Linked DNA regions of Lytechinus pictus. The protein of the gene in region 1 interacts with the protein of each later gene in a biochemical or structural test. Links are inferred from orthologs where the notes say so. Each region holds a gene or a part of one and is shown in the gene's direction. Other genes may lie near its edges. The genes, in order: AP-2 complex subunit mu and autophagy-related protein 9A-like.

Evidence for each region.
Region 2: the proteins of AP-2 complex subunit mu (region 1) and autophagy-related protein 9A-like interact in a biophysical measurement, tested with the Homo sapiens proteins (4 studies listed by BioGRID and IntAct, with this or other methods). The link is inferred for Lytechinus pictus from reciprocal best matches to the Homo sapiens genes AP2M1 and ATG9A.

Annotation. Positions count from the first base shown.
Region 1 is NC_087258.1:28,019,577-28,035,804, forward strand, and holds the start of AP-2 complex subunit mu, read left to right. Parts: upstream 1-10,261; 5' UTR 10,262-10,374; intron 10,375-16,228.
Region 2 is NC_087257.1:16,390,814-16,407,130, reverse strand, and holds the start of autophagy-related protein 9A-like, read left to right. Parts: upstream 1-9,728; 5' UTR 9,729-9,864; intron 9,865-14,776; 5' UTR 14,777-14,986; coding exon 14,987-15,089; intron 15,090-15,750; coding exon 15,751-15,794; intron 15,795-16,287; coding exon 16,288-16,317. Other genes in the region: aladin-like, read right to left, coding at 578-723, 2,019-2,110, 3,127-3,310, 3,936-4,061. UniProt on the Homo sapiens protein: Phospholipid scramblase involved in autophagy by mediating autophagosomal membrane expansion. Cycles between the preautophagosomal structure/phagophore assembly site (PAS) and the cytoplasmic vesicle pool and supplies membrane for the growing autophagosome.

The DNA of each region.
Region 1 (16,228 bases):
TTTTCCGACGGCGGCGGCGTCGTCAACATCAAATCTTAACCGAAGGTTAAGTTTTTGAAATGTCATCATAACTTAGAAAGTATATGGGCCTAGTTCATGAAACTTGGATATATCAAATATTACTTAATACCCAGCCTGAGATTCAGGTTACATATCAAGATCAAAGGCCATTTAGGGTCAATGAACTTAAGATTATGTGGGGAATCAAAACAAAATCTTCATAAGTCTGAAAATATATGGATCTAGTTCATGAAAGAGTAATCAAGCTTCAGTGAACATCCTTCGTGAATTTCAAGTCACATGACCAAGGTCAATGAATTTTGGCCTTGTTGGGGGATATTTGTTGAATTGCCACCATAACTGTTTATGGATCTAGTTCATAAAATATGGACATGGATCTAGTTCATAAAATATGGACATGGATCTAGTTCATAAGATATGGACATGGATCTAGTTCATAATATATGGACATGGATCTAGTTCATAAAATATGGACATGGATCCATGGATCTAGTTCATAAAATATGGACATGGATCTAGTTCGTAAAATATGGACATGGATCTAGTTCGTAAAATATGGACATGGATCTAGTTCATAAAATATGGACATTAGGGTAATCAAGTATCACTGATCGTCTTGCACAAGTCTTTGGTCACACGATCAAGGTCAAATGTCATTTAGGGTCAGTGAACATAGTATTTTATTATCATGATATTATGAATGGTGTTTTTTTTTTAATGATTATTCTGAAGTCGTTTTCAAAGTCAGCACTTCTGATATATTGAATCGTGTAATGCAGGCGAGACGGCCAGAGGCGCTCTACTTGTTTTTCTTCAAATCATGATATCAGGGGCCGCGGAACCGGGTGGGGGAAGGGGGAGGGGGCTTCAGCCCCCTCCCCCTTTCAAACCAGTGTACAAACACGTAAAATGACCATTAATTCTAATTGGGATTTTTTGTATGGTCATGTTCAATGACGTATTCTTCTTTTCAATATAAGTGCTTTAAAAATCACCACTTTTCATTTAAGTCTATATAAAAAATTCTGGTAAAATATATACAAATTTATTTTTCGCACTTCTCCCCCTATTTAACATAGCTGGAGCTACACAAATTGCGTTTCATCATCACCATCATAATTATTCATCATCAACATCATCATCATCATCATCATCATCATCATCACCATTTTCATCATTATCATCGTCACCCCCACCATCACCATCATCATGCATCATCATGCATCATCATCATGCATCAACATCATCATAATTATCATTATCATCGATCACCATTGCCACAAAAACCAAAATCATCGTCATCATCATCATCATCATCATCAACATCATCATCATCATAATTTTTTTTAAAGGATGTTTTATTGTATTCTCTCAAATCATCTTTTTTTTAGATTTTTAGATTTTAGATTTATTTATTTCCGTTCAAACAAATGATATAATCCAGTGTAAATACATGTTCAAAATAATACATACTCAAAATAATACATACAGTTATTTAACATTTCATAACAAATATTGAAGATAAATTATCTGAACGGAAGGACTTGCCAAGAAAAGTAGAGCTTGTAAAAAAAGGCAAGTCTCTAAACTTAGTTCCAATACTACGTAACATAACCTATATACAAGAGACGGACGGAAAACGAAATTAAAATACATAATCTACAAAATACCAAAATAGAGCGGATAAGCGACAACAAAAAGTGGAAAGTATAATAAGAAAGGATAGGATAATAATTGTAATGGATAACGATAATAATGATAAATTTTTTAATAGAATTTATAAGAGTGGAAAAAGGGAGGCAAAGGAAGGAGAGAGCGAGAAAAGGGTGGTGCAAATAAAGCTGAAAATGGAAGGAGGAACATGGCAGGTACACATGTCATAGGGCACTGTAGTGACATTATTTAGAATATATAATTAGACAAATTTATTGATAATTAAATGTTAGGTTTAAACACGTTTAGTTACAGTTATATATTAGCTTGACTTGTTGGTGTGGAGTATTGACAAATTAGCATCTTTTTAAGTTTGCGCTTGAAAATATTAATGCTTGGTGATTCTTTAAAGTCATTGGGCAGTGAATTCCAATACACTGGTCCAAAAAAGACGAAAGAGTTTTTTGCTGATAGAGTACGGGTTGGGGGTAGATGATAACAATTACGTTGTCTCGTTGGGTAATCGTGTATAGAGGAGTTTTTACAGAACATGTTTGAAAAAATTGTGGGGAGATCCCCTTTACTTAGTTTATATATAAATTGGGCGAGTTGGAAAATATATAAATCATTCACTTTAAGAATATTATTTTGGAAAAAAAGGACATCTGTGTGTGATCTGAAATTAGTTTGAAAAATTATTCTAAGGGCCTTCTTCTGCAACAACAGTATCCTTTGTAATTGTGTTTGGATTGCACAACCCCATGCCAAAATGCCATAATTAATGTATAGTAATATTAATGAATGATATAATGTAAGTAAAGTGTGAGATGGAAGAAAATATTTGAGTTTGTTAATAATTCCGATGTTTCTTGAAATTGTTTTGTATATATTATCAATGTGTGGTTTCCATGATAGCTTATTGTCAATAGTAACACCCAAGAATCTGGTCTGTGATACATTTTCAAGAACGGTGTTATCAAAAATGAGATTGTCAGGTAATGCATGTGTTTTATTACTAAAAAGCATATAATTCGTCTTTTGCAGGTTAAGTGACAGTTTATTCGCCTTAATCCAGTCAGTTACATGTATGAGTTCAGAGTTTACAATAATATTCTTACAAGTTGATTTGCGTTATCATGAGAAAAGAAAATATTCGAGTCGTCTGCAAACATATGAATGTTAGTAAATTTGAACTTTTTTTAATGTCATTGATATAAGTAATAAAAAGAAGAGGGCCAAGTAAGCTACCCTGAGGTACTCCGCATGTGATAGGACAACCGCGTAGCCAGGATTTCATTTTGGAGGGGGCGGTAAATGCACGCGAAGCGTGCGAACACTTACAGAGCGCGCGAAGCGCGCTCCCTAGGGGGTGGGTGCAGGGAGGGGGAGTTTCCCCCTCCCGCGCGAAGCGCGAAGCTTTCGGTGTTTCATAAATTAAAATGAAAAGGAGCCGTTTCTCTTGTCTCTAGTATCCATCTATATCAGCCCCAATTCAGTTGACTATATCGTGATTTTGAACCTTGTTTTCAAAAGTAATTGTGAACGCACAAAAAAGGGATAAAATGGAGGAAATTTAAATAATATTGAACCCGCGCGAAGTGCGGAAGCTAAAGCGTTTTATCATTTTTTTTTTAAAGAAAAGGGTCCCGAGAAAAGGGTATTCTCTAAGTTATCAGTAATGAATACTTCCCTTGGAAAGATCAGATTTGATTACAAACAATTTAGCGACAGTGCATATCTTTAACTCGAAAAACAGAGAAGAAGGATGTATGCCGGGAGGAAGATATTCCTCCCCGCGCAGAGCAATGAAACTCTGAAATTTCAAAGCTAGGGCGGACGTTTCGTCAATTGTTTTCCCTCTAAGATTATTGAACTTCATTAAAAGGAAAATGGTGCGCAAAAAGTTGAAACTTTTGTGATTTATTGAAATTGTATAAAACAGGATGATGTATAATTTATTTGACTTAAATATCCTGATGCGCTTCATTTTGAATGATAAAGAAATTTAAGTGTCATTCAAAACTGAGGGCGCAAAACAAGACAGGAGATGAATGTGTAGGAAATGACATGAAGTTTAGTAGAATTTGATAAAAAAATATTGTACTTTTTTATATTTAATACGACACGAATTTTATACCTTCCTCTTTTTAAATTAGGAACCTGTTTGCCCCCAATTATGGTTGTATAGTAATGAGCTGAAAATCGGGAGAAGTTGCCTATATGGAGGTGACGGCAGAAATTGATATAAAGATTATACTCGCCCGGAGCCGACCCAACTTGCGCGACCAATTAAAAAAAGATAACTTCATGTACTTCGGTCTATCCTTACTCTAATTTCATGCCCTAAAGTACCGTAAGGGCACTAGTATTCAACCCGTTTGGAGAGTTTCCTCAAATATATAGAAATATAGAATTTACCTGAATTTCAGACCCGTCTTATTTCCAAGAGCAAATGCTGGTTATTCTTTTTCCGTTATTTTTTTCTTCAACCAGTTGACTGTGTGCGCGGGCGATCGAATTATACGGCGACGGATTTTGGTACTAGTATTCAACCCGTCGGCACTAGTATTCAACCTAGCGATGAAAGATGGCCTTGTCTCTCAATCTGCCCTTGTCCCATCCGACTATGAACTAGACCATTTGAGATGAGACCAAACAGGGATTGGGAATTAATCAAAGCCAGAGACTTACATAGTTCTAGATCTAATTTAGCAATTTAAACCTTTTTGAGATTTGCTATCAATCCTCACTAGGTTGAATACTAGTACCATTCAGTGCAAAAGGCCATCGCCGCATAATTCGATCCTCCGCGCATACAGTCGACAGATTGACAAAGAAAATATCGACAACAGATTACCCTGGAAATAATAAAGGTGTGAAATTAAGATAAATTCCCTATTTCTAAATATTTTGGGGAATATGTCAAAATCTTTGAATTATGCCGGGTTGAATACTAGTACCCATACGGTATATATTTGAACTTTAACTGGCAAGAAACACATATAGCTGAGATGGAAAAACAGGGTTAGAGAAAGGGTGAGGGAAACAAAGGAGAACTGCAATATTGTCATTTAACCGCGCGCAGCGCGGAAGCAAAATTCATATATATAGATTTAGAGCAAGAGTGAAGGAGTTTCTGTTTTGAGAAAAAAATAAAGATTAAAAGGAAAAACCCACAAAGCTACCTTTCTTTCCTTTCCTTCCTTCGCTTTTCCTTTTTCTCCTCTCTTTTTTCCCTTCTTTTTTTTTCTTTTTGGGGACGTTTTGGGGGGGGGCGACCGCCCCCACCGCCCCCCCCCTGGCTACGCGCCTGTGATAGGAAGAGTAGAAGAAATAACGTTGTTAAATGATACGAATTGAGACCTATCTGTTAGGTAACTCCTGAACCACTCCAAGGCCTTCCCCCTAATACCATAAAAGGAAAGTTTATAAAGAAGTATTTCGTGGTTAATGGTATCGAAGGCCTTGGAGAAGTCCAGGAAAATACCAACAGTATGAAAACCTTTATCTATGGAAGTAGTGATTTTATCAATAAAAGACAGAATTGCAAGTAAAGTGCTATGATTTTCGCGAAACCCAAATTGTGAAAAGATATTATGTTTATTAAAGAACTTACTTGTACGTGTATGTATAAGTTTTTCGAGAATTTTAGATAATGAGGCAAGTAATGAAATACACATTCACATTCCATAAGCAAGTTTTACACATTATTTGAAACATGATTATCAATTATACAATAAATCCATAACCCATATAATTATACAAATTATACATCAAACTTCACAGCAAAAACTGTGGTGTTAACCGGTGTACATAGAGGACCACACCACTTTATTTTACACCGGTGTTAAATTGACGGTGTTATTTTAACACCCATAGGTGTTATTACAACACCTTGGGATGTTACATTTACACTCTTTGGTGTCATGTTCAATCTCTAGGGTGTAATTTTAACACCTCAGGGTGTGGTCCTCTATTAACACCAACTGGTGTCAGTTTTAACACCACAGTTTTTACAGTGTTCAAAGATACCGGAAATTAATACTGATGCGTTTCAGCAATTACAAAATGAAATATTAACAAGATGTATTAAATGACAAGAGAAAAAAATGATTAAAAAAGATTTATTCTACCTCCCACCCCCCCCCCCCCCGTCCCCAGGTAAGGAGCGCCCTCCACTTTATGCCTACTCTACATGGAAGGGACTCCAATTCTCCGTATTGTTCTTGTTTTTTTCTGTGTTTTTGTGGTCTTGTCTCTCGCTGTTTATATACCTCTGCCTCACTCTCCCTATATATTCCTTTAATTTAGATTTTCCCATTTCCTTAAATGTAGAGACATCTTGCCTCTACCTAAAGCCAGCCTTCTTTCTTCCCATTCCTCTTCTTTAAATTTCCTTTTAATTTCATAATTTTTTTTAAAGGATGTTTTATTGTATTCTCTCAAATCAAAATAAACATTCACATTCCATAAGCAAGTTGTACAAACTATTTGAAACATGATTATAAATTATACAATAAATCCATAACAATATAATTATACAAATTATACATCAAACTTCAAAGATACTAGAAATTAATACTAATGCGTTTCAGCAATTACAAAATGAAATATTAACAAGATGTATGAATGATAAGAGAGAAAAAAAATATAAAAAGTGTTGTTCTACCTCCCAACCCCCCCCCCCCCTGTCCCCAGGTTAGGAGCACCCTCCCCCCTTTTTTTATGCCTATACTCTACATGGAAGGGACTACAATTCTCCGTATTTATTTATTTTTTTGTATTTTTTTTTGTGGTTTTGTCTCTCGTTGTATATATACCTTTGCCTCACTCTCCCTATATATTCTTTTAATTCAGATTTTCCCATTTCCTTAAATGTAGAAACATCTTACCTCTACCTATCATTATCATTGATCACCAGCGCCACAACAACCAAAATAATGTCTTCTGTGTGGGATGGGAAGGTCTGAGATGATACTGGCTTTCCTATTTTTTTTTTTTTTTTGCAGCAATGTTTTTCGCCAAGTTTTCTCAAAATCGGTCATGCCAATTTTATTGAATGTCATGCCATATTTAAAGGTCAAGTCCATCCCAACAAAATGTTGATTTGAATAAATAGATAAAAATCAAACTAGCATAACACTGAAAATTTCATCAAAATCGGATGTAAAATAAGAAAGTTATGGCATTTTAAAGTTTCGCTTATTTTTTTTACAAAACAGTGATATGCACAACTCAGTGACATGCAAATGAGACAGTCGATGATGTCCATCACTCACTATTTCTTTTTTTTTTTATTGTTTGAATTATACAATATTTCATTTTTTTACAGATTTTACCATAGGGACCGACTTAACTGAATCATATATTATTAAACAATGCTAATTCCACATGTTCAGGGAGGAATTAATCACTGTTTCACTTGACAATGAGGAGAAAATTAGAATATTTCATATTTCTTATAATAAAATACAAAAGAAATAGTGAGTGGATGATGTCATCAGTCTCCTCATTTGCATACCAACCAGGATGTGCATATAACTGTTTTATGAAATTAAGCGAAACTTTAAACGTCATAACTTTCTTATTTTACATCCGATTTTGATCAGTTGATGAAATTTTCAGTGTTATGCTTGTTGGATTTTTCTCTTTTTATTCAAATCAAGTTTTTGTAGGAGTGGACTTGTTCTTTAAGTCCTCACAAATTTCCTTGATTGGCTATAGAATCGCTGTTACTGTGATAAACCAGTCCTTCAATTAAATGCTGCCCAGGCTATCATAGACACGCGATAGTAAGCTTTTCAAGGTCATCAGGCCTCATGATGACGTCATATAGGCGCCATTTTGTAACATTATTTAAAATTTATCATATCATCATAATGGATCATTAATAATCTATCATATTTACAAAAATAAACTTTAGGCCAAGGGTCAACTATACATGTCATCAAAGGTCATGACGCGCGCATCGAAATTTAAAAATGCTAAAAATCGACTATTATTAATTTTGAGTACGTTTTAGGCATTTCAAAATTTTGCGCGCGCATTTTCGTACGTCACGGCATTACGTAACATATAATCATTAATCATTAATGCATTAATGATTTAATTCCAAGCAATTTTATACCTCAATCAACTCTCTACGACCACTAATAAAGGAATGAGCACCCATTAAAGTTTGCAGCACGCGTGCGCGCGAGCTCTAACCTCTAACCATAGGCCATATGGCCAAAAACATGCTTTTTGAAAATTCACTGTATATATTTCTTCAAAACAAATGGGGACCCTTTTTTCTATTTTGATGGAGTATAAATCACAGATATGATTTCATGTCTCATTCGATCATCAATTATATCATGACGTCATAAAAATGACGTCAGTACTAAAAATTTCAATTTTGCGTGTTATGACGTCATCATAATTATGCAAATATGACTCTAACTCTGTAAATATTGGTCAGTTTTCGCCAAATCTTCGATATGATGTAGCTGAGGGATTACTCTTTCTGAAATATTGTCTTTATTTTTCATTTTTATTAAGGCCCCCATTCCACAGAAAGGGGACCTTTGAAAGACCTTTGGAATGGCTCAGAAAGACCCCTCAAAGAACTCCTAAAAACTGATTGGTACTTCTTGTCTTATTGGGCTTTGACTAGTCCTATAGATCGAGATATTTTAATGGTCTTTCAGAGATCTTTTATGCAGTGATCTTTCAGAATTCTTTCCATGGACTTTGCCTGGTCTTTCAATGATCTCTCATGAGTCTTACGGTGATCTCCGCAAAAATCTTGAGAGACTGTCGAAAGATCATGGAAAGACTAATAAGAACTTTGAAAGTTCATCGCAGTCGACGGTGAGGTACCTTGTCAAAGGCCTTCATAAAATCTAAATAAATTACATTTTGAAAGACCATCAAAAGACGAATTTCCTGTAAGACAGCTGAAAGACTAACTGTACCGTTTCAAAAAGTTTTGGAGCTCATAGTGAGTTTTGGAGCTTATTGCCTGGTCGTTCTACTATGCTTCATGCAGTTGCTTAATGTTGTTGATGAGTGGTCTCAAGCTCTTGAAGAAAGGGGTACAATATCGATGTGATTTATTTAGATTTTATGAAGGCCTTTGACAAGGTACCTCACCGTCGACTGCTTGAAAAGGTCCGTAGTTTTGGTATAAATGAACAGGTGGTTAGATGGATTGAGGCATTTCTTGTTGGAAGGAGACAGAGAGTGTGTGTGAATGGCGAGTTCTCAAGTTGGGGACATGTAGATAGCGGAATTCCGCAAGGGAGTGTCCTTGGACCTGTGTTATTTTTTTTTATATATCAATGATCTCCCAGATGTTGTTACTGGAAGTAATGTAATTCAGTAATAAGAGTGTAACAAGTATATAAGAGATCAGAATGACATGCAATTCACTCCAGAGAGATCTTGATCATCTGAAATGCTGGTCAGAAAAATGGCTGCTGAAATTCAACCCCAAGAAATGTAGTGTACTCTCTATTGGTAACACGCAGGACCGACAGGAAGCTTTTGTATACACTTTTTTTAATGATGCGCTTGAACATGTAACCCCCGAAAGGGACTTAATTGGATGTTGTAATTGATGATAAACTCAGCTTTGAAGAGCACATGCAATCGAATATAGAAAAGGCCAACAGGCTATTGGGTTTGATCAGACGAACTTTTGTTTATCTAGACAAAAATAACTTTTAGGCCAACAGCATGGAAATTTTTGGTAAAAAGCTGATTTTTTCAGGATAGGTCCGGGAATATGTCTATATAGAATACCATACTAAAAGTCCTCATAAATCCTCCTTGAGGGTTTTCCGTAATCCAAGATGGTGTCCAAAATGGCCGCCATTCACAGAAAATTGACATAATTCACTCACTATCCACACTAGACATCCAATTTCGGTGCATATTTCATGTTCTAAAGGGATAAAAAGATCTATTGATATACAGGTTAGAGTGAATATATAGGCAGACCAGGGAAGATGGCGTCCAAAATGGCTGCCATAGCCTAAAAATTAAAAAAATTATCAATTTCTTACTTTAATGACTTTACTTTCGTGGGGTAGGAACATGGCATAAAAAATATGGGGAAGTGTATTATTATTATATACATGAAGTGCCCTAACTGTAGTAAATGCAGGTCTTTGACTTTCAACAGTTTACTTTCTAGAAAAAGTGGGTCCCTATGAGAACGGAAAGCTGTACTGTAAATAATACGAAGTGCTTTCTTTTGCAAAAGTAACAATTTATCTGATAAATATTGATGGGTACCCCAAATAAGAATCCTGTAGTTTAAATAAGGCAAAATTAAGGATGAGTAAAGCATGATTAATGTAAGTGATAATGGGGTGATAATGTTAGTGATAATGATAATGATGGTGATGATTATGATTATAGAGATATTTATTCGAAATTACTTAGCTCTATGGAGAATGATGACAGACCACCTAATTCGTCCTCATGACGAATTAAAATCTATTTTTATTTTTATTTTTTCTTTATGAATAAAAGAAATATCTGCTCATATCATTATTCTTTGAGGAGCCAATGTACCTACGATGATCGTTCTTTTAGCGCCATCTATGACCATTTTATGTCAACTGCATGATCCGCCCAACTGTACTTCCGCTGCCTTAATTGCATGCATTATACAGGAATTGATACAGAGCCGGGCCGTGTGAAGGTAGAAAGGTGGGTGTGTTCTTCTTTTAAAACACAATTTTGACTTATTTATATTTATTTTCTTGTTTAGTGAAACGTATCCCAACATTCCTGTTAATGTATGATATGTATTAAAGTGTGTTATTTGGAAAAGAATTTGCTGAATTTACAATTGAGTAACTTTCTGTTCTCTGTACCGTGCCCGTCCGCATAATTCTGGCACTGTCTGTGGCAGAATGAATACCGTACGCGGAAGAATTGTAATGTGTATTTCAGGGTAGTTGAATCATATTTGGATCTGGGGCCTGTTGCATGACGAGATGAGCGATACGTAGGAACGTCCTAGGACCATTCTCCCAAGATAGGAAGATTGGCGACAAATCAGCGCTTGCCGTTTCACGAAGGCAATTTTGTCTTTCAAGTCCGCGACATCGTTTGATATCGATAGTATCGGAAAAATATTTAGTCTTCATCGTCACCTGAACCTTTTATTTCGGAATGACGACTTTTTATAAAATCATATATTTCAATAAAAGGGGATCAATAATGTTTTATTTATTACTGATTGTAGAATTGATGTATGGAGCGTACTTTAATCTTTATGGGGTAAAAAGAGAAAAAACTTTCAAGATTCACAAACATAACTGGATAAAATCGAAATTTTCATTATTTCCCTTATGTAGAACACGGTGTCCTTTTAGAGACACCTTTCGTTGATATTTCAACGAAAGAGACCCTTGTCCGACCTAAAAATTTATTTAACTAAGTAATTTCGACATTTTATTAGTTCAATATAGGCCTAGGCCTACTGATTCTTTATAGAATACCGGTAGTACGGTACATATTATGTATAATGATGATTTTGCAAATTATGCGTTAATATGTTATCCGTTGAGGTAAAAATAGGGTTTGAATGGAGTAAACAAAATCAACAGTGTCTGATTGTATGAGACTAAAAAGAAAAATATGAGAGGCTGCCTGTGGCTGTGAAAAATCTAATTTATTTATTTTATTTGTCAGATATAACGCAAGAAATACAAATGTGAGTGTTTAGAGTATAAACATACCTCGGTTGCATGATGAGTAACCGAAGACAAGGAAAATATGAAAATTGCTGCAAACATGTCCAAGTGCATGGAGTGCTTTGCAATAACAATTAAAACATAGAAAAGGTGTGCAATCTGCAATGGAAAAAATACTATTTACAGAAATAATGCTAAATATTACAATGATCATAAACGTTGGTCATCTTTAAAGTTGATATTTCAAAGTTTATGGAAGCTTATATAAGAATATAAGGTTTAACTATAAAAATTTTATATGTTCAACATTTCAAAGTTGAGGAGTAGAGTCTACATTATTGCTTTAACATTACATAGGGGCCGAAAGGGCCTACCCTACGATTTAAAAAGTGCCTCTTCGTATGGACTTTCCATAATCTTTTCTTTAATGAACTAGCTTATCTTCATTTGTAATAATTGTGATGGACTCGTAAGCTAAATGCCTAATCTGTATCTTAAATTCAATTAGCTATTTTGTTACTGCTGATTTTTTGCTTTGTTTCACTGTTTCACAGTCAAGTTAGCCCAAATCCGACAATTAATTTTCATTGATTAGAATTAATCTCAGCAAAAAATATTATTATAATGAAAATGAAATAAAAATAAATGAATGATTTACCATGTTTAACATTTTAGTTTTGTATCGTTTTTTTTTTGCTGAATGTTATGAACACGTTTTTTTTACCTTACATAATTTCTTTTGTTTTCATGTTGTTTAATTATCTATAATGAGAAAGCATGAGGGGTCAGAGAGATAGTGCCGCCCATTTCGATATTTCAAAAAAAAATTTAATGGAAATGGTGTGGGGATATAGGACGGAGAATAAAAGAAAACATATTAAAAAAAATATTTGGGCCTACATTACCCCGGACATAATGCCCGGAGAAGTTAAAATGACATCTGTTTTTGGTCATCTTGCCGTGCAAAAAGACGACCTGAAATCGATGACAACTAGCCCCCATATAAAAAATAACTTGGCACCATCCCAGATAAAATGCATCAGTGTGCAACCCCAAAAAATGTTTAAAGGTGATATGTCAGTGTGGGTTGCCGTAAACGAATTTTCTCTCAATGCCGACGGTGGCGGGCGGTGTGCAAAGAAGATCATGCCTACGTAGGACATGTCTGGAGGTGTCTTTCCAAGGACCATTCTTCGTATCGCCCAAATCGGCTTTGTGAAACAGTTGAGCGATATCTCGTTCTTACGTAGAATGGTTCTACGAAAGACCCTTTCATGTAACAGGCCCCTGGATTACGATGCAGTGCGAAATGCGTATTTTCCCCCCTACTTACAACAAGGGCTAACTCTGTTTTTAGAATTAGCCAGAAGGCTCCTAGAGACTAGAGAGTAAAAATTATTCACTAACGTGTGCATACTTCGCCTGAGCTGGAGCAGTGGAGGCTGGAGGCCAAGTTCTGGAGAGTAAAAAAGTATCTAGGCCTACTGTACGTAGGCTTACATGTACTCTCCATGAAGCCTGGTTCGGTTCACTCACACTAATACGAGGTTAGTATATACACTAACCTCGTACAAGGGACCGTGTTTGACCCTAGATTTCGAAGTAGTCGGCAAACATCACTTCATTGCTGAAGTAATATTTGCCGAAACTCCTTCTCGCTACGCACCGGGGCTCTTTTCGGTAAGTAGCAATACATAAAAAAATTATACATACGATTTGGAAATAATTTCATTACAAAAAGAGCAAATTTCGCTTATCTCGGCCTAGCAAGTGACTTCGTTTGTCTCTTCTACGGAAATACAAGGAAGCCCGTTGGTGGCGCTAATAAATTTCACAACCTTGATTCAGCTCCTTGGTAATTTTATAACTGTGTCTAAATTCTTTGGATGCGCAATTCTTATGATTAATTTACTAATTATGGGCACCAATAAATGAAATACCTTCAAAAACATAATTCAAGATTACTAATGGCGATGATAACACTTTTTGCAATTAATTTACAACGATGACTAATAAAAAAAATTGAAAAAAATACACATGCCTGGAACGAAACCAGCAGTACAAGCTTTAACGAACGTCAATAATACGGTATACCAAAGTCTATACAATGAAAAGATTGGACACTTCACGGACTTCGCGTAATGCCTTGCGTAGATTTGCGTGTAAAATAGTGTAGGTGCCTAGTCTTTCCCTTGTCGTGTCTTTGATATGAATATAAATCGCGCGCCCTCTTTAGGCGAAAATTGATATCCACGCTGACCAATTTGTATCTCCGTGAAATCTTCACTAAAGATCAAGAAAACATACACATTTTTTAAAAGAAACTTCAAGGAGAAGTCACGGAAGGATCTAAATGATTCGGTAAGTGTCATAGCAGAATGTGAAATACCAGATTATGCGTGATATTTTATGTGGGCAAAAGCCCAGTATATTTTGGATGTGTCGTGTGTGTCGCGTGCATATGACTGATATTCCTTCGCATGCGAGATGATATGAACCCATGGGTGGGTTCGGTTAGCCATTGGTCTCTACACACCGTAGGTTTTCCCATGGTGAAACTAGACCTAAATCACACGTTTTGCTTTGGATTTTGAGCCCAAACTAACGTACATGGGCCAAAACAATATTTACCCCCCAAATTTAATATGTTTGTATATTTTATTCAATAGATAGTAGTAAATATGAAAAATAATTAAGAGCACGAGCGTTGACTTATCCAGTCTTTTTTTGTCGCCATCTTGATGTCTTTGTTATCGATACCTAGAAACCACACGCGTGTATACATGTAGCTGCCAATTTAAATTAAAAAATAAATTGCATCGGCCGATAAATATCATGAATCGTGAAATACTTGCATCGGTCGAATAATATCATAAAAATGAAAAGATGGGGAAAACTTGCCACGATGTTTACGTCGCCATCTGGTTTTCTTTGTTTTTCGCCAAGGCTACAGCACGCATATCGGGATATGCAGTGTGTGTTGTGAGGTTTTTACAGATGTATTTCAATGAGAGATGATTATTAAAGGACAAGTCCACCCCAACAAAACGTTGATTTGAATAAAAGAAAAATCAAACAAGCATAATGCTGAAAATTTCATCAAAATTAGATGTAAAATAAGAAAGTTATGACATTTTCAAGTTTCGCTTAATTCATTAAAAAAAATATATTCACATCCTGGTCGGTATGCAAATGAGGGGACTGATGACGTTACCCACTTACTATTATGTATTTTATTATATGAAATATGATATATAAGAGTCCCATATGCACTCCCCACTAAAATTGGAAATAAAAACATGGATAAGGTTTAGAATAATATATGTAGCCCTATTATAGAACATATATGATGGGGGAGTGGAAATACATACCAAAATATGGCTTTATTCTGTCAAATTTGACAGAATGTCCATAGACATTGGTTTATTTAGTCAGTAAAGGGTCTGTGAGTCCAGACTAATTGAACTATCGGCTGATAATTGTTAAAATTCCCATTCCGGTATCAGCGCTTCTCGCTAGCAAAGTGGGAAGAGGTCTTGACTGCAGATTAAATGAGGTGAGTTCGAGTCCCAACTAAGGTAAGCAACATTTAAAAAATGATAGAAAAATCTGAAGTGAACAAATCGGAAGTCTTGTTATTTTTGGTGGGGGGTGCATATGAAACTTTTTCCAATATTCTTATTTGCTCCTCATTGTCCTGTAAAACAGTTTTCTCCTCACTGAACATGTGGAATTACCATTGTTTTAGCATTTTATGGTTCAGTCAAGTTGGTCCTTATTGTCGAATCTATAAAAAATGAAATTTTGTATAATTCAAACAAAAAACAAAAGAAATAATGAGGGACATCATCACCTCTCATTTGCATATCACTGTGATGTGCATATACACGTAACCATTTTGTGAAACTTTAAAATATAATAATTTTTTATTTTACATCCGATTATGATGAAATTTTCAGCATTATGCTTGTTTGATTTTTCTCTATTGATTCTAATAAAAAAAAATTGGGTGTGGACTTGACTTTTAGGGACTATTTTTTATGAATTCACAAAGAGCATACATATCTCACCATAGCCATCTAATGAGAGCGCCAAGCGCTTGCTGATATTTTTAGAATTACACCACGCATGAAGCACTGGGACCGACCTGGCTTTGTTTCACCATCTGATAGACATGACAAGGGCTCAAAACTCTCCATCAGTTTGTATCTTCCATATGTATCTTGGGCTACAGGCGCACGCCACAATGCCAAGAGATCACAGTGGTGTTGTAATCTTTTTAGTTTTCCTTTTGAGTCTTTTATATTTATCTTGGTGTATTTTGGAATGCAGCCTTAGTTATAAAATGTTGGTTGAGAGAAGGCAGAGTAGTCCTTGCCTTTCATCTTTATGACTTCACCAATACGGCATATTTGAAGTCTCCATAGGTATAGCGCTTAAAGGGATGGTCCGGGCTGAAAGTATTTATAGCTTAATAAATAGAGTAGAATTCACTAAGCAAAATGCCAAAAATTTCATCAAAATCGGATAACAAATAACAAAGTTATTGAATTTTAAAGTTTAGCAATATTTTATGAAAACAGTCGTCATGAATATTCATTAGGTGGGCTGATGATGTCACATCCCCACTTGTTCTTTTGTATTTTATTATATGAAAATAGGTTTATTCAATTTTTTCCTCCAAGAACAAGAAAAATTTGATTGACAACTGATTTAGTGCATTAGATATTTATTGCTTCAACTTATTTTATTATAAGGGAGAAATATTATTCACACAAGTATGAAATAATGAAAAAAATATGATTTTATGTAATAACATAAGAAAACGGAAAGTGGGGATGTGACATCATCAGCCCACCTAA
Region 2 (16,317 bases), on another chromosome or scaffold:
ATGGTTGTCTTTAAAGGATAGAACTACATCTGTGTCTCAAAGTTTAACATTTCAAAGAACAGCTCAGTAAAGCTTTATTTAGAAATATTTCAGAAGTGGCAACCTTCTTTTACCTTGAAACAGCTACCTACAAGAATTAGGAGACCGCTGTCAGACAATATAGGGTTCCTACCATTGCTATAATTCTGAAACACTGGTTTTTCTGAGATGTTCGCAAGATTTGACACACAGGCCCGTATTCTGAAGTCGAGTTTAATTTAAACTCTGGTTTTAAGTTGTGGTTTAACTATGGAAAGCCGGTTGTTACATAAATCTATAACAGTTGAGGTTCAATGTATCAGCTCATTTGACTCCCAAAACATTGACTGCCTGGGAAGGATAAGTATGACAGTTGTCTTCACCATTAGAGAATTAGTAAGGAGCACAGTAAACATGAGAAGCATTCACTGTAAACAATATTTTGAACCATTTGGCTTCCCGTTATTTTAGCACAGAGTTAGACCGTGGTCCCAGTTAAACCTGACTTCAGAATACGGGCCACCAGGTTTTACCAGCCCATCTTTGATATACCACATACCTTCCTGATATGAATATTTTAACAGTATTATCTTTCCAGGCTACAGCACATTTGTTGGTGTGTTGGTGCCATGCAAAGGCTCTGATCTCACTCTCATCCCAGTCCTTGGCTGCACTGAACTCGTTGATCATCTCATCAGGAGAGAGCTAAAGAGAGAGAGAGAGAGAGAGAGAGAGTGGGGGCATAAGGGATAATAGACAGATAGAGATAAACAGAGTAGCCACTGGGAGGAAAGGAAAAAGGGAGAGGTGAGAAAGGAGAGAAGGAAAATGAAGAGAGGGAAGGAGAGATTAGTGGGGAAGAAGAGAGAGAGAGTAAGAAAAAAAAGGACGGGGGGAGACACATGCACACACAGATAAATTCACTGGTTGTCTCTACCTCATTAGTAAATGCTAAATAATCTTTGAATCAAATTGCGTCAGGTAAACATAAACAAACATAAACTACATCCAATAAACGTTTAACAAATATTGTTGTTACATAAGAAGGCCTTTTTAAGTTTCTATTCCTTGACAAATTTTAATAGCATGAACTACAATTTTCCATCATGTGCATTCTATCAGGAAACAAGAATACACTTTGACAACTTTGAGAATATTACCCTTGCAAGTTTGAAAAAAAAAAGGAATTGGGTGATGAGTTACAATAAATGAAACTTTATTCCAAGCAATTCAAATGGTTTGTAACTTTGCATCTACTTCGACTACAGGTAGATGGTTTAATTCTCAGATCATCTAACGCCATCATGCCTAAACCTACTTCGTCTAATATCCGTTTGGTCCAACCATTACTTAGTCTATTAAACTGTCATTCATACCTCAGTAATATTTCCCCTCCGGCGAGTCGAAGACAGCCATTTTATTCATTTTGATTCAAACCACCTACATGTAGCTGGTACAAAAAAATGTTAAAACTGCTGTTTTCGAGTCGCCGTATGGCCACAGTAGGGGAAATGTGACTGAGGTATAGGTCTCATGTCCAGACGGTCTAATTTCCACATTTTTCACTTTGTCAAATGAAAATTTGGTTCATACGAAGTACGTATATATTCTTGTTGACTATTAGGGTGTTAGACCAAGTGGAAATTCATAGATAAGACATGTACAGTAAAAAAGGGGCGGATCCAGGATTTTTCGAAAGGGGGGGGGCACATTTTCCCGAGGAAAAATTTGACAATCAAAAAAAAAAAAAAGGTCTTCACTTTCAATGGGGGGGGGGGGGGCACATTTCTGTTTTAACGGCATCTTTACATTACAAAATTTTAATTGTGCCTTTCAGTGGACAAAGTGATAAATGGGCTTTACACAACACAACACATTGATGGCTGGTAGACGAACTGGCTATGAACGAACTAGGATTAGACCACGCGGGATGAGACCAAATAGAAAGTATACAAATTGGGTATAGACCAAGTGACAATTTACCATGAAGACAACCTTACCATCAAATGAGGATAGAGAGAGCCTCTGAATGAATTGGCCCAGGTCACTGTATTACGACATCCACAGGCAAGCATAGTGATAGGCCAAGGAGCTGGTGAAGGAATAATGGGAGGTAAAAAAACTCTGTTAAATGATCAATGGAAGCTTGGACCATGTCTTTAAATGAAAATATATAGTTTCTGTACCTAAATAAATGATTTGCCAATCGTTTTTGCTGACTAGGCCTGAAAAGAAGCCAGGATAGCATTTCTTCAACATTTCTCATCCGACAAGATGCTAGATCCGGCAACTTCTTTGATTTTGATTGGCAGAGAAGCACCGTTACTACAGCAACTGTTGGATAAAACATCCACAAATCCTTTCATGAAATGCTCCCCAGGGGCCCGTAACACAAAAGGTTAGCAATTAATTGTATGCTTGATTTTCACGATTGATTGTGTATTGTAGTCAATGGTATCCATCGCAGGAAAGTGTTTCTACGATCATTGCTAAGCTTTGTGTTACAGGCCTCAGAACACATTGAATTTCCATAAGTGCTGTACTGAAATATTGCCTGAAAATGCCTAACATGGGAAATTGTCAGGGCCTGAAATAGGGTACCACATTGGAGACTGGTATCTCTGTGTAGATACAATCTAAGCATTGCAAAAGGGATACTTTGCGTTGAAATTGGAAGGCCAATCTAATTCAAAGCGAAAATTATTCAGCACATTCCCATTAAATCAATGAAAATGTATCTGATATACATCTTATAATGATGACTCCCACACACATGATTCCAAACTCACAACTTAAATAATTGCAAGGCACTCTGTCCCCGGGAGAAATCTTCCCTTGAGAATATATCTCCCCAAAGCAAAGGTTCCACAGGAGACAACTCCTCAAGAGGACAAATCCCTAGTGTGCCCTTAGAAGTTGATGGGATTCGTGTTAGAAATGATAAGCTCCCATTTAGAACAACTCTCCCCAGAGTATGGATTCCCCAGAGGAAAACTTCCAAGAGGACTACTACATGTACCCCTCCAGGCCATTTGGAGAATGTTCTTCAAAGGAACTGTGATATAAATGATTTAATTAAAAGTAAAATTTTTCAAAACACACCGATACCTGAGTCATTTTTAGAGAGTTCGTCCAGCATCTCTGTCACACCATGAACACGGCAAGTGTACCAAGCTTGTTTCCAAAGCGATACTTCATCAACATGAGGTTGAAAGGCAGACTGGGCTGCCTCATCTGTCGCCAGGGAGCAGAGGGTCTCGGTTGAGGTGCTGATGCTAGGGTACTCAAAACCCTAGGGGAAAATAATAAAATATGTTAGAAAAATACATTTTTTTGACAAAATATTGATGGCACCTTGTAAATGCTCATGGAGTCATGAAATCATTTATTAAAAATTATTTTTTTCTCTTTTTCAACTGATGAATTCTAAATATTTCTTTGAATACCTGTAAACAATTTTCCTGGCATCGCCTAGCAATGTGATGCATTGTTTAGATGACTGATTAGTCAAAATGTTTGCTTTTACATTAGACTTTACAGAAACTGATTATAGATTATTGATTCCCAAACAACCAACAACTAATAAAATCTAAAAATCAAAATAATTCCTTGTATACACTTTCCTTTTCCAAATAAAATGAAAACAACAAAAATGAAAAAAAAAATACAGACTATATTCATTAGGCTATAATACAAAAGCATTACGACCATACATGTATCAATAAGTTACTTTAGCTGTAGGACATAAAATCAAGAAAAAAAATCTCCCTCACCGTCCAACCCCAATAAATATAAAAAGAGGGGGGGAACAACCACCAAAATATGAGAAATAAAATGGGCAAATGAAAACATGCAGATAACAAGCAGGTAGGTGTACGTCCAACTTTCCTGAATAATTGTATAGTATTCTAACTTACAGCAATCCTTGGTGTGTAATTTACAGGGGCATTGCTGGCATGAATGGTGACCAAATCTCCGTTCTCTTCACAGACAGTGATACATCCGTCTGCAGGAGGGGGAGGTCCTTCAGCAAGGGAGCACATGCTTTGTGAAGAATTGAAAGGAAGAATAAAACAAAAGAGAGTGAGATTTTTTAATTTCTAGCATCAAGACAATTGAAACCATGCAGAGCGATTGGCCCATCAATTGTGCAACTACTTTCCATAGCAATTGTAAAGATGACTTTTTATTTCAGCATAAAATGCAATCATTCATGTAATTAGAGCATGATTAAGCTTTTCAACTGCTGGAAGCGATGTGTAACGCTAAATGTGTCTGAAATTTGGAAAGTACATATGTAGATCTACAATGTATGTCCGATATTGGCATTTTTTTTAAGCAGTCAAGTTTCTACTTTTTATTTATTTATTTCATTATTAATTAATTAATTTATTTATTTATTAATTCATTTATTACCGGTAATTTATTTATTTCTTCATTAATTCATTAATTCATTCATTCATAGTCCCTGAATCAAAGGTCAAGTCAGCCCCAGAAAATTTTGGATGTGAATAAGTAAAGAAAAATCAAACTAGCAAAACGCTAAAAATTTCATCAAAATCAGATGTAAAATAAGAAAGTTATGACATTTTAAGGTTTCGCTTATTTTTCCACAAAACAGTGATATGCACAATAGTGCTGCAAGTCAGGCGCCATGTTCGGGTTCGGTTCGGTTCGGCAAGGTTTGGCAGAAATTTGCCGAACATTGGTTCGGTTCGGGGTTCGGTAATGATAGACTGATAAAGCTATAGTTCATTCAGGTACGTAGCGTACTGGTAGCAATTTGTACTTGATTGACTGCATGTGCTCGCGTGTACCTCTGTCACATCAAACCATTTTATCTCTATCTTGTTGACATGAAACTATGAAAGTTATAGCGCTCAACGAATCAACTGTTATCTCGAATTTGATTATCTGATGACAGGTTTATTGGGTAACTCACAGTTCTAAAATGGCGACTCTTCCTAGTCGTCCATACCTGGACCACACTTTGGATACTTGCCAAATTAACTACGCTCGCACTCGTACCAGCTAGGCCATGCCAGCGCATGCAGTCCCCTTGTAGCGGGACTCTGAGCTCATGAATATTTATATATACAGTCCGTCCAAACGTGATTGGCAATTGCATCACATAGGAGGCGGCCAGCGCCAGTGCACTGAACTGTAGGCATAGTTGGGCCAGGGGCGTGTCGAAGAAAGCGTGCTTATGTAATGCGCCTTTCGCTAATTGGCTCGATGGGTGAACTAAACCACCAATCGCATGTCGCTGATTGTCGCATCGGTACATACAGCCACGTGCTTTGTCTGCTCGCGAAACTCAGCTCACTGATTGAAGAGCAATTCCCGAGATTTCTATGATTTCATTGGTCAGATTTCATTCGACCATAAACATACAGACCAAGTGGGATGCAAAGTTTTACGACTGTAATGGGATAGGGGGAGTAGAGTGATCATCGAATTGTTTATGGTTAATTTGAGAAGTTGATAAGAAAGGGAAAAAAAAGTAAAGAATGGGGGTCATTTTCCCCCAAGAGATGAATGTTTCCGCATGGCTTTATCTTCATCTAACTTGTCAACGAGGGGAAGGGGATCTTGCTATATTCTATACCGTTATCATTCATGAGTGTTTGATTTTTATTTTCATCTGATTGTTAATAATAAAAAAGATAACTTCACCTCATCTCATTTCTATATTATTTGTTTTGCGTCTCTCCTTTCCATCTCTAACAGTCACTCACTTTATTTCCCACTTTCACTGGATCTCTCGTTTTCAAAACTCTTTACTTCTCTCTAAAATCATGAAAACTAGACAGTAGCGAGCCGACACCTCAATAATAATGTAAATCACCTCAATCAGATCTTTATTCTCCGCCGCAACAATAAACGAGTTACGATCTTAATCACATCGTATCGTAATTCGTAATATTAATGGTACTTCATCTTTCACTTTCAGTTTATTGAGCTCGTTCATTCAAAATACTTTGAAGATTTTCAAACAAGAATCTTGTTCGCCACCTAAAAACAACAATATTTTAGATAATTAGATTTAACCAATGAACACTCAAACAGTTTTGGTTTTCTTTACCATGCTTTGGCGATTCGGCCACAGAGCGAGAGATGATGAAAGCCAGTAAAATTATTATAGCGCAAGCTCGCGCAACATCGTTCATCGGATCTCCTCTCTTTATCAGGGCCGTAAAAACCACAATGTCAACATGAAAATGAAAACAAAATCTAGTAACCGCAAAATAAGCGCATACAATTGCAAAGAAGATTAAATAGAGAATGCGCAAATATAATGATTAGAAAGGGTGTAAACTTATAAATTTATTAGCTGAAAGCCGTTTTTTTTGCCGAACTTCCGAACCAAGTCTTAGTGTTCGGTTCGGTTCTGTTCGGTTCGGAAGTGCCATGTTCGGCGAACTACCGTTCGGTTCGGCGGTTCGGCTACAGCACTAATGCACAACTCAGTGACATGCAAATGAGACAGACGATGATGTCCCTCACTCACTATTTCTTTTGTTCTTTTATTGTTTGAATTATACAATATTTATTTTTTTACAGATTTGACAATAAGGACAAACTTGACTGAATCATATAGTATTAAACAATGCCAATTCCACGTGTTTGGGAGGAATTAATTATTGTTCCACTTGACAATGAGGAGAAAAGTAGAATATTTCATATTTCATGTAATGAAATACAAAAGAAATAGTGAGTGGATGACGTCATCAGTCTCCTCATTTGCATACCAACCAGGATGTGCATATAACTGTTTTGTGAAATTAAGCGAAATTTAAAATGTCATAACTTTCTTATTTTACATCCGATTTTGATGAAGTTTTTAGTGTTATGCTTGCTGGATTTTTTTCGTATTTATTCAAATCAACTTTTTGTTGGAGTGGACTTGTCCTTTAAGGAAGCTTTCCTATCCGCAACGACTAAAACAGTTAAAAATCCCAACTCTGGCGTATCAAAGGTTAGGAGTGACATGATTGAAACATATAAACACTTTAATCATTATGATCAATGTAAAAAAAACTGGGCCCTGGGACAGGCACAAACCTACATGTCGACAGCTGGCAGCCATCTGTTTCGAGGAGTTTTTAAACATTTTTTAAAATTTCTCATACACAGACGGCTTGCGATTGTGCAGCCGCCATTAGGGGGTTAACAATGCAAAATCCCCCCGACGTTGCTCATCGATTTTTGTCTTTATTTCATAAAAATATATAAAAAGAACTAGACCAAAATAAAGATTATTATTCCGTTTTGGCCTGAAACAGGACGACCAGACGTCCCGTATTTCCTGGGATCGTCCCATATTTTGCTCCTTTGTCCCGTCGTCCCGACAAACCCTTCCCTGGATGCCTATTTGTCCCTTTTTTCAGAATATTGAACAAAATATAATTAATACATAGAAAAGTGAAGAATTTTCATCTAATAACCAACAGATGACAAATCAGGGACGACAATACAATTGTTAATTGTAAATTTTGCAAATTCTGCAGTGATTTTCTTGCTACCCAATTCATTGCAAACTAATAGTTACGTACATGTAGATCTATATTTTCTACGATCTACACACAAACACAAAGCATACATGTACTAGCTGCTGCATGCATGTGCTTCCACTGGCCTCCTGCCTGTTTACCTAGGCATGTAGCAAGGCTCCACACTAACTTTTTTTCTTGGTGGCCCGATCAGTCCACCAAAATCATCAATTTCATATTTTTGGTGGCCCGCAAAGTGAATTTGGTGGCCCTAAAACAATAGGAAACATTACAATTTATCAAAACTTTGGTAGCCCGACTGGGCCACCAAGTGTTGGCTTTTACAGAATTTTGGTGGCCCGACTCTCATTTTTGGTTGCCCCGGGCCACTGCTAATGTCGAGCCCTGCATGTAGGATCGGAGCAGATTCTCAATGGTGCAAACAATCTTACATGATAAACAGTTTTTCCACCAAATTTGGCACAAAATTGGCAGGAATTTTTTATAATTATAGTCATGGATTCTCAGATTACTGATTTGGTGATGTGATCGGAGGAGCAAGTTATTGAGTTTTCATTAACTAGATCCAATTGTTTCAGCTTTCGTTTTGAGTCTTGTTGTGATCGGCCCGGGTGCGAACTTGTAATGGGATGAGATGCATGCCTGTGTGTATAAATGCCACAATGTTTTGTCTAATTTTTTAAGTTTGACAATGTTTCACTTTGACATGTTTTTTATTTCTACATAGGCCTAGTACATGTAAAACATTTTAGTTTTTATTTTCATTTTTATATTAATAAAATTTCATACCCAAAAATCATTGAGATTTTTGTTAGATGATTGGATTCTTTTTTGTTTGCTTGAAGTTTTAACTTTTTTCCTCTTCCTTTCTTTTTTCTTTATTTTCTATCCTTCTTCCTTCAAATTCCTTGCCGCTTGCCTTTTTTTGGTTCCATCTAGGGCCTATCTATAGTTCCCATCTTTCCTAGTTTTCTTTCCTGATCCTTTCTCTCTCTCTCTTTTCATTTTTAATTTATTTCCTTCTTTCTCTTACTTAGTCTTAATTAGGCCTATACTTTCCTTCTTTTTTTAACTTCCTTCAATCATCAATGTCAATGACAATGTCAATGATCAATCTTCATTCTTTCTTTCTGCAAAATTCTCCCTTCCTCTCATTTTTCTTGTCGTTCTTTCTCTCCTTCCATTATTTTCTTTTTTTTCATTCTTGATTCTATTCTCCCTCGGCCCTCTCTTTCATTCTTTTCCTTTCTTTCGGCTCCCACACATGACACTTCCTGGAGTGTAGTGGTAGCTGGACCACAAAATTTAGAAAGCTCTTAATTTGTCATTAAAAACACATAAATGATCTTCAAGTCCTAAAAGTAAAACGTAATAAAAATTACTTAAAAGTTACAGAAATTCCCTATAACTTCTGAAAAAAAGTTTTGGTCTAGCATAAACCAAGATGACCGACGCCAAAACAGACGAATGGGACTGAGCAAAGCATGAACTATGAGTATGAAGTGTGAACTTCTGAAGCATGATTTGGCAAATGACTGAATTATTCCAAAGACAAAGTCGACCCCAACTGCCTAATTTTCTATTGGATGTCTATTTTATGCGATTGATAATATGAACTTAAATCCATGGAAATGTGTATACATCAAGTATTCCTACCTGTTTTTTCGACGAAGAAGAGCATTGAACTTGACCGCCGACGGCCGGCAAATGAAATATCAGGTTGATTACTAGCGTTAATTTTTATTGTACAATTTCTATCATAGTGCCAATTAGTTTCTAGATAATTTTTTATTTTATTATTCGATAAAAAATCCCAAGTATTAAAAAAAATATAACTATAATAATTTTTAAAAAATAAAAAAAGATATTCATAAAATGTTTAAAGACTATATTTATTTAAAATTTTAACAAGAATGTACGGATCGATTACTAATCTGTATACAGGATTTCCGTGAAAATGTGAATAGTACTCAGAAAGTAAACAAAAATTAATCTAAAACTTCAAATAATTCACCTCGTTCATTTTATTTATTATTTGTAATCACATTATTAATGTGTAATGTTTCAAGATGGGCAAGAAAATTATTTGAATATATAAATTTATTTTAATAAAATTGTTTTTGTATCAAGTTTCAAGGCATACAAATATTTTATAATTCATTTTGATATTAAAAAAATAATACTATTTTACAGATTGAGCAAGGATTCTATTCTCGAAGACCAAAACAAAAACAAGGGTGATCGACCGTCGATCGGGGAAGTTTATCGCCAATCTGAATGACAGTGCATTAAACAGACTAGATTTTCTATTGTAAATTTCGTTAATATACAGGCAAGTAGATCTACATCTCTGTACTCTGACTGAATTCATAACAATGAATAGCTGATTCTTGAATCATTTGTCGAAGTGTTGTTATTCACTTGACCCTGTCGAGCTGTCTACTCTGACTCTGAGTCTGACTCAGACTGAGACTGTCTCTGTCTCTGACTGAGTCAGTGACTGAGTCTGAGAAGTGAGAGTGAGAATGAGATGAGTGAGCTGAGCTGAGACCACTCACACAACATGCGAGGTTAGTATTACTAACCTCGCACAACACATGTGATTTCACATAGTGCATTTTGACGTTTTCATTCATCACACGAATGTGAGGGACTAAACTACGCCAAGCCTTTCAAATTCAATATTTGTCCACTAAAGTACCGGTATGTTAATCTTGATCGTATGATTAAAGTATATTTGAAAAAGGAATTATAAATTATTTATTAGGGCCTAAAGTAAAGTGTTTTTATCGCTTACCTCCAAATCTCAACCAGGATACTTCGTTTGATCCGTCCTTGGTCATCCTCATACTGCGGTGGAAATTACGCAAACAACAATCGAAATGCGAAATTTTCCTATCGAACATTCTCGATTCAAGTCGTAGGGGAGGGAGAAAGGAAAGAAAAGAAGGGAAAGGAAAAAGCAAGAAAGGGAATGGAGGGGGCGGGAAAGGAAAGGAGAGACAATAAAAGACAGATCAGGGGAGGGGGAAAGGTAAAGGAGAGAGAGGGAAAGGAGACCATAAAATACAAAAAAAACAAAAGAAAGGAAGAGAGGAAGGGAGAGGGAAAGAAAAATGGAAAGAGCGAGAAAAGAGTAGGGGAGGGAGAAAGGAAAGAAAAGAAGAGAAAGGAAAAAGCGAGAAAGGGAATGGAGGGGGCGGGAAAGGGAAGGAGAGACAAGAAAAGACGGATCAGGGGAGGGGGAAAGGTAAAGGAGAGAGAGGGAAAAGGAGACCATAAAATAGAAAGAAAACAAAAGAAAGGAAGAGGGGAAGGGAGAGGGAAAGAAAAATGGAAAGAGCGAGAAAAGAGTAGGGGAGGGAGAAAGGAAATAAAAGAAGGGAAAGGAAAAGCGAAAAAGGGAAGGGAAAGGGAGAGAAGAAAAGAAGGGAGAACGAAAATGGGGAAAGGGAGAAGGAGAGGGGATGATGAAGGGGATAGGAAAATGTCAAGTTTGAAGATCTGAATATTAACACTAAAACAAAATTAGACTCCCATGTTTTATTTATAAAAATACCATCTTTTTCATGATTATAAAGGTTCAACGTTCCTGTTGTAGGTCTAAACTTCAACATAAATCTACTGGCGCTTCGCGCTTGAATTCTGGAGGTCATTCCTCTTTTAAAAGTATAGGTAATCTGTCGGACTTTTCAAATCCCAAATTTAAATCTTAAGCGAAAATGCCCTCGCATTATTTTTCACTTAGATACAGTCCTGTCATCAATATCAAAAACTCTAAGCGTGAGCTTCGCGCTGGCATCATTTTTGTAAGCGACATTTATGATGTTGTTCATATTTTAAAAATGTCCATTTGTTGAGGTTTAAATGTCCAAAAGTTCAGCGCTCGCATAATTTGTAAGGTAAATAGGCCTACCCTTTTAATTGTTATACAAAGGCGCTTATACAACGTCCAGAATGCAGTTCGGAATATTGAAAATAACTATTGGTCCCGCTATTTCTGCCCGTGCGACAAGCATTTATCATTTTGAATCATGAGATTCACCTTTAAAATATGATGAAAAAGTATCGTTAAGACTGAATTAAGAAAAAAAGAAGCTCACGTTTCACGCTCGCATTTTGATCCGTTAGCTTGTGATAATAATGGTGACTTCGTTAATATATCTTAGCGGACATGTCCACCTTTTGGTGCTTCAAGAAAAATAAACACAACACACAAATAATAATAGAAAACGAACAAGAATAGAATAGATAGTTACCTATCCCACTCGTGAATTCTTATTTAACAGTCCCCAAAACGTCTTTTTTTCATGTTAGCTTATTTCATATACATATATATATATATATATATATAGGTCTCCTCATCATGGTTATAAAAAGTGCTCAGAATGTTTTATTTTCAAGTCCTTGTATCAGAATTTTCAGCTCGGGCAGCTCTATCGCATTTTGATTACTATCCTGTTGATTTATTTACTTGAACAAAATATTTAAAATGTCCAGCTTTTAAAACAGATATCAAAAAAAAGTATTCACCTTTGATCATAGATGAGGAAGAAGAAAAAAGTGCAAAAAAATAGGAAACAAACTAACGAATTAATGTGACATAATTTTTCTTCATTTCAAGGCGACTCTTTACATTTCATCATCGCTGATGGCGCTACAATAGAAAATACCGCTTGACAGCAAAAAAAAAACAGAAAGAGGAAAATAATGCTGAGCGTCTAAAATGCAGCTAGCAGTACAAGCTGCAGAACCGTAAACAAACATCTTGTGAATAATATCGCGCGCCCTCTTTAAGCAAAAGTTTACAACCACGATGACCCTGCGGTATCTACGTGAAGATCACGAGAAAATGCTTTTTTTTTCTTAAAAACACACCAAAGAGAAGACAAGAAACGATCCATATGGTTCGGTAAGTGTCATAGCACAATTAGAAACATTATTTTAAAAGGAATGGCATAGTTATTTTAGTAAAAAGGGTGTGAAAAATTCGCGTGCACCATGTGCATATGAATCCTTCGCACGCGAGATGCATTGATCCCATGAGTGAGCTGAGACTTGAGTGAGTGAGTGTCTCTGCCTGGCTCTGATCTTTCTGACTCTTGACTCTCTGAGTCTGACTCGAGCTCTGGCTCGATCTCCGACCTGAATGGAGGAAGGATATTACATGACTCAAGAGAGAGATGACTTTGTCTGACTTGAGACTTTTGAGTGTGACTGAGCTGAGTGAGAATGAAGTGAGAATACTCTGAGTCTGAGAATTTGAGACAGCACTCTCCAGTCTCTGCGCTGTCTAAAATTAAAAGTCAGCACTTTTTACTGGAGTGCAGGCACTGCCAGTGCTGTCATTCAGTAAAGAGTGGGAGTGAGACTAAGTAAAACTTGGCGCTAGTGTAGTTTCGCACCTCCCCGTTTAATGGTTTTCAAACATGTACAATCTCACCCTAAATAATTCACAACCTAAAATACTTGCATCTGAGCCTCCAAAGTCCAGTAGAAGTTGAATATTTGCCGTTTTGACACTTTTTTACAAAGTTTTACACCTATTTCGGAATCACTCGGTCGCTTGATCAAGCTCAGCGCTGCACATAAGCAGTCGGTACGCGTACAGTACGTACCACCTAGTGAAGTGCAAGAAGAGCGAGTTTTTCTATGGTATCTTCAAAAAGATTTTTTCCCCTCTTTCAGCTTGCACCAAGTATTACGGTAGTGGTTGTGCAGAGTGGTTGATGTTTGTTGTGTGAAGGTATGTGTGTGGGGTGTGCGTGTGTGTGATTTTTTGAATGAAATAAGAAATGTGAAAAATGTGAATACACGTAGATTTAACCACTCTGCACAACCACTACCGTAATACTTGGTGCAAGCTGAAAGAGGGGAAAAAATCTTTTTGAAGATACCATAAAAAAACTCGCTCTTTTTGCACTTCACTAGGTGGTACATACTGTACGCGTACCGACTGCTTATGTGCAGCGCTGAGCTTCAAGCGACCGAGTGATTCCGCAATAGGTGTAAAACTTTGTAAAAAAAAAGTGTCAAAACGGCAAATATTCAACTTCTACTGGACTTTGGAGGCTCAGATGCAAGTATTTTAGGTTGTGAATTATTTAGGGTGAGATTGTACATGTTTGAAAACCATTAAACGGGGAGGTGCGAAACTACACTAGCGCCTAAAACTTAAACTAGTAAAACTAGTAAAATAAAGTGATAACTATTGTCTGTAATTGACTTGTCTTTCTACTCTACAAGACTACCGGTACATGTATGTCTATGATTTTTTAAGTTTTTGATAGGATATGATCAGACATGATGATGATGACTGTCTTGACAATGACACCATGCAACATTTTTATTTAACTGCCGACATGGCAGAAGGTTGTGATTCAAGACTGAAATTGAAGGTTGATAATTCATTTTTACTTGCTTCACTTAAATGTTTTTCTTCATTCTTACCTTTGACTTTGTTTTTGTTTTTTAATGATTGATTTGTACTTCATTTTTTTTAGTAAAGACAGAAGAATAAAATGATCTATTAATTATGCCTGTTAAAACCATTTCCTGCAGGCACGCAGCTACATTGTAGCAGATGGTAAAATTGAGCCTGTCTATAGACTATGCATTCTGTGTCATTCATTTTACAAAACGATTATCAAAATATTAGATGATCTACTTTTTTTCGCGAAATGCTATAAACCAATTTTTTTTTAAGGAACCTTGAGAGCAATTGCTCAGGATGGATGTTTATGCTGCCATCTACACGTAGGCTTGTAGAAAACAGTCAACTGAGACCATGCGATGTCTCCGACCGAGTAGTACTGTTGTCTATTGGCTCATTGACATCAACACTACAGAATTGTCTACTGACTATGCAGCTATGTAGCTTAGTGCTTACTTTGCTCACTTCAGACAAATTACACGTACAGTAGGTTCTATTCCAGGAACCTGTACATAACATTGCATGAACAAATACATGTAGGTCTACTATCTGTTAGATTCTCTTAAAATTCTATTTGTCAATAATTGTAAAAATTAATTGAATCTTTTGTATGTTGAAATTTGATTAAGTCTTGATAATGAAATTTTTTCCTTACAGATTTGGACAGTTAAGATGTAGCTTTTCACGATTTCAAAGCATAGTTTGGATGCTCTTATTACTATCCACACCATGAAGTTTTGCTTTGGCGATAATTTGAGATTTTAGAAAACAAATTTGATTTAAATAATTTGCTTTTTTTACTTCTGTGCAGACCTGCACATGCAAGGCGGAGGTTTTGAGGAGCAAGTCCAGACTACAGTGTAGAGCCTACAGGATGATAATAAGCTACACCTCCAAGCATTCGTCAACAGCATCAACTGAATAAACTGAATCCTGTATGTGATACTGAATGTGCAAGAAGAAACGAAGAGAGACTTGAATCTTGCGTGGAAGGAGAGAACCATAGAGGGATCCCTCCAAGATGGCTGCCCTTCAAACAGAGTATAGACGGTTGGAGACTGTCGAGGACGACGCGCCGGAGGATAGGGACGTCATGCTCCATGTTGTTCATGATTCTGGAAAAGGTACACTGCCAGGGGCCAGTATCACAAAACTTTAGCAATTGATCTTACAATTGATTTGTATGTTTGATTGCACATAATGGACAATGTACTAATCAAGCATAATAAGCAGCCCTATGATCAATTGCTATACTTTGTGTCACAGGGCCCGGATAATACATTCTTTCTTCTAAGTTCAATGTGATTTCTAGACAAAGTTTTCAGCTTTGCTCGCATTAGTGAAAAAATATAAACAGATGATACAGATCAAATACTGTACAGGGATGAGAGATGCCACCATTTCAGATAAAAGTAGCAATTTTTATGCATCGAAGAGTTTGGCCATAGTAAACACATTTTTCTGTGTACAAAAGAACCCATTGTAGATGATTTCCTTCTTTGCAAATAACTTTTGAAGTTGCACCCTTCCTGTTTTGAAATAAAAGAAATGTAAGCATGTAAACTGTAACTTTTGTAATACTTGAAGCTGTTTTGAATTTAAAAAAGGGATTTAGAAGAGCAGTTAATTGATTTGAAATATAATGATCTCATTTTGTATTCATGTGATCATGTCACATATTCGGATTCCTATTCATTTATATCAGTGAATAATTTTTAGAGTGTGTATGTAACCCTTGTTTGGAGTCCGTCACTCTCATTATCTCTTTGTCTTTCTTCATTATAGCACGCTGGAATCACATTGAGAATCTAGATGAATTCTTCACAAGAATATCCTTTGCAAGAATTTTTCTCATTTTCTTTAAGCAGATATGCTGATTGTATTCGTGATATAAAATGGAGTATAATATTAATAAAGATCTTGTTGTAAAAGGGGGATCTAACCTTGATAATTTAGAACGATGTGTGTGAGAGGGGAAAATGAGAATAGACTGGTGAAGGTTCGAAAGAAATCAACGTCAGGGATGAAAGTTAGTGGCCGATTATTTTGTTTGAAAGGGATCACTACCAAAGACTACATGTATGTAAATCTCAAATTAACAATTATAGTGTGTACATGTATCATTTCTTAGTATACTTACTGTTGATGGTGTTTAATATCGGAATTGAAACGAAATAAAGATTCATTCATTCATTTATTCATTGATTGATTGATTGATTGATTGATTGATTGATTGATTGATTGATTGATTCATTGATTCATTCCAGTAATTTTTGTGAGTGACTTTCATTGATAAAATTCCTCCTTGACCACATTATGCACGTCTACCACTATCATCAGAGGAATGGATAC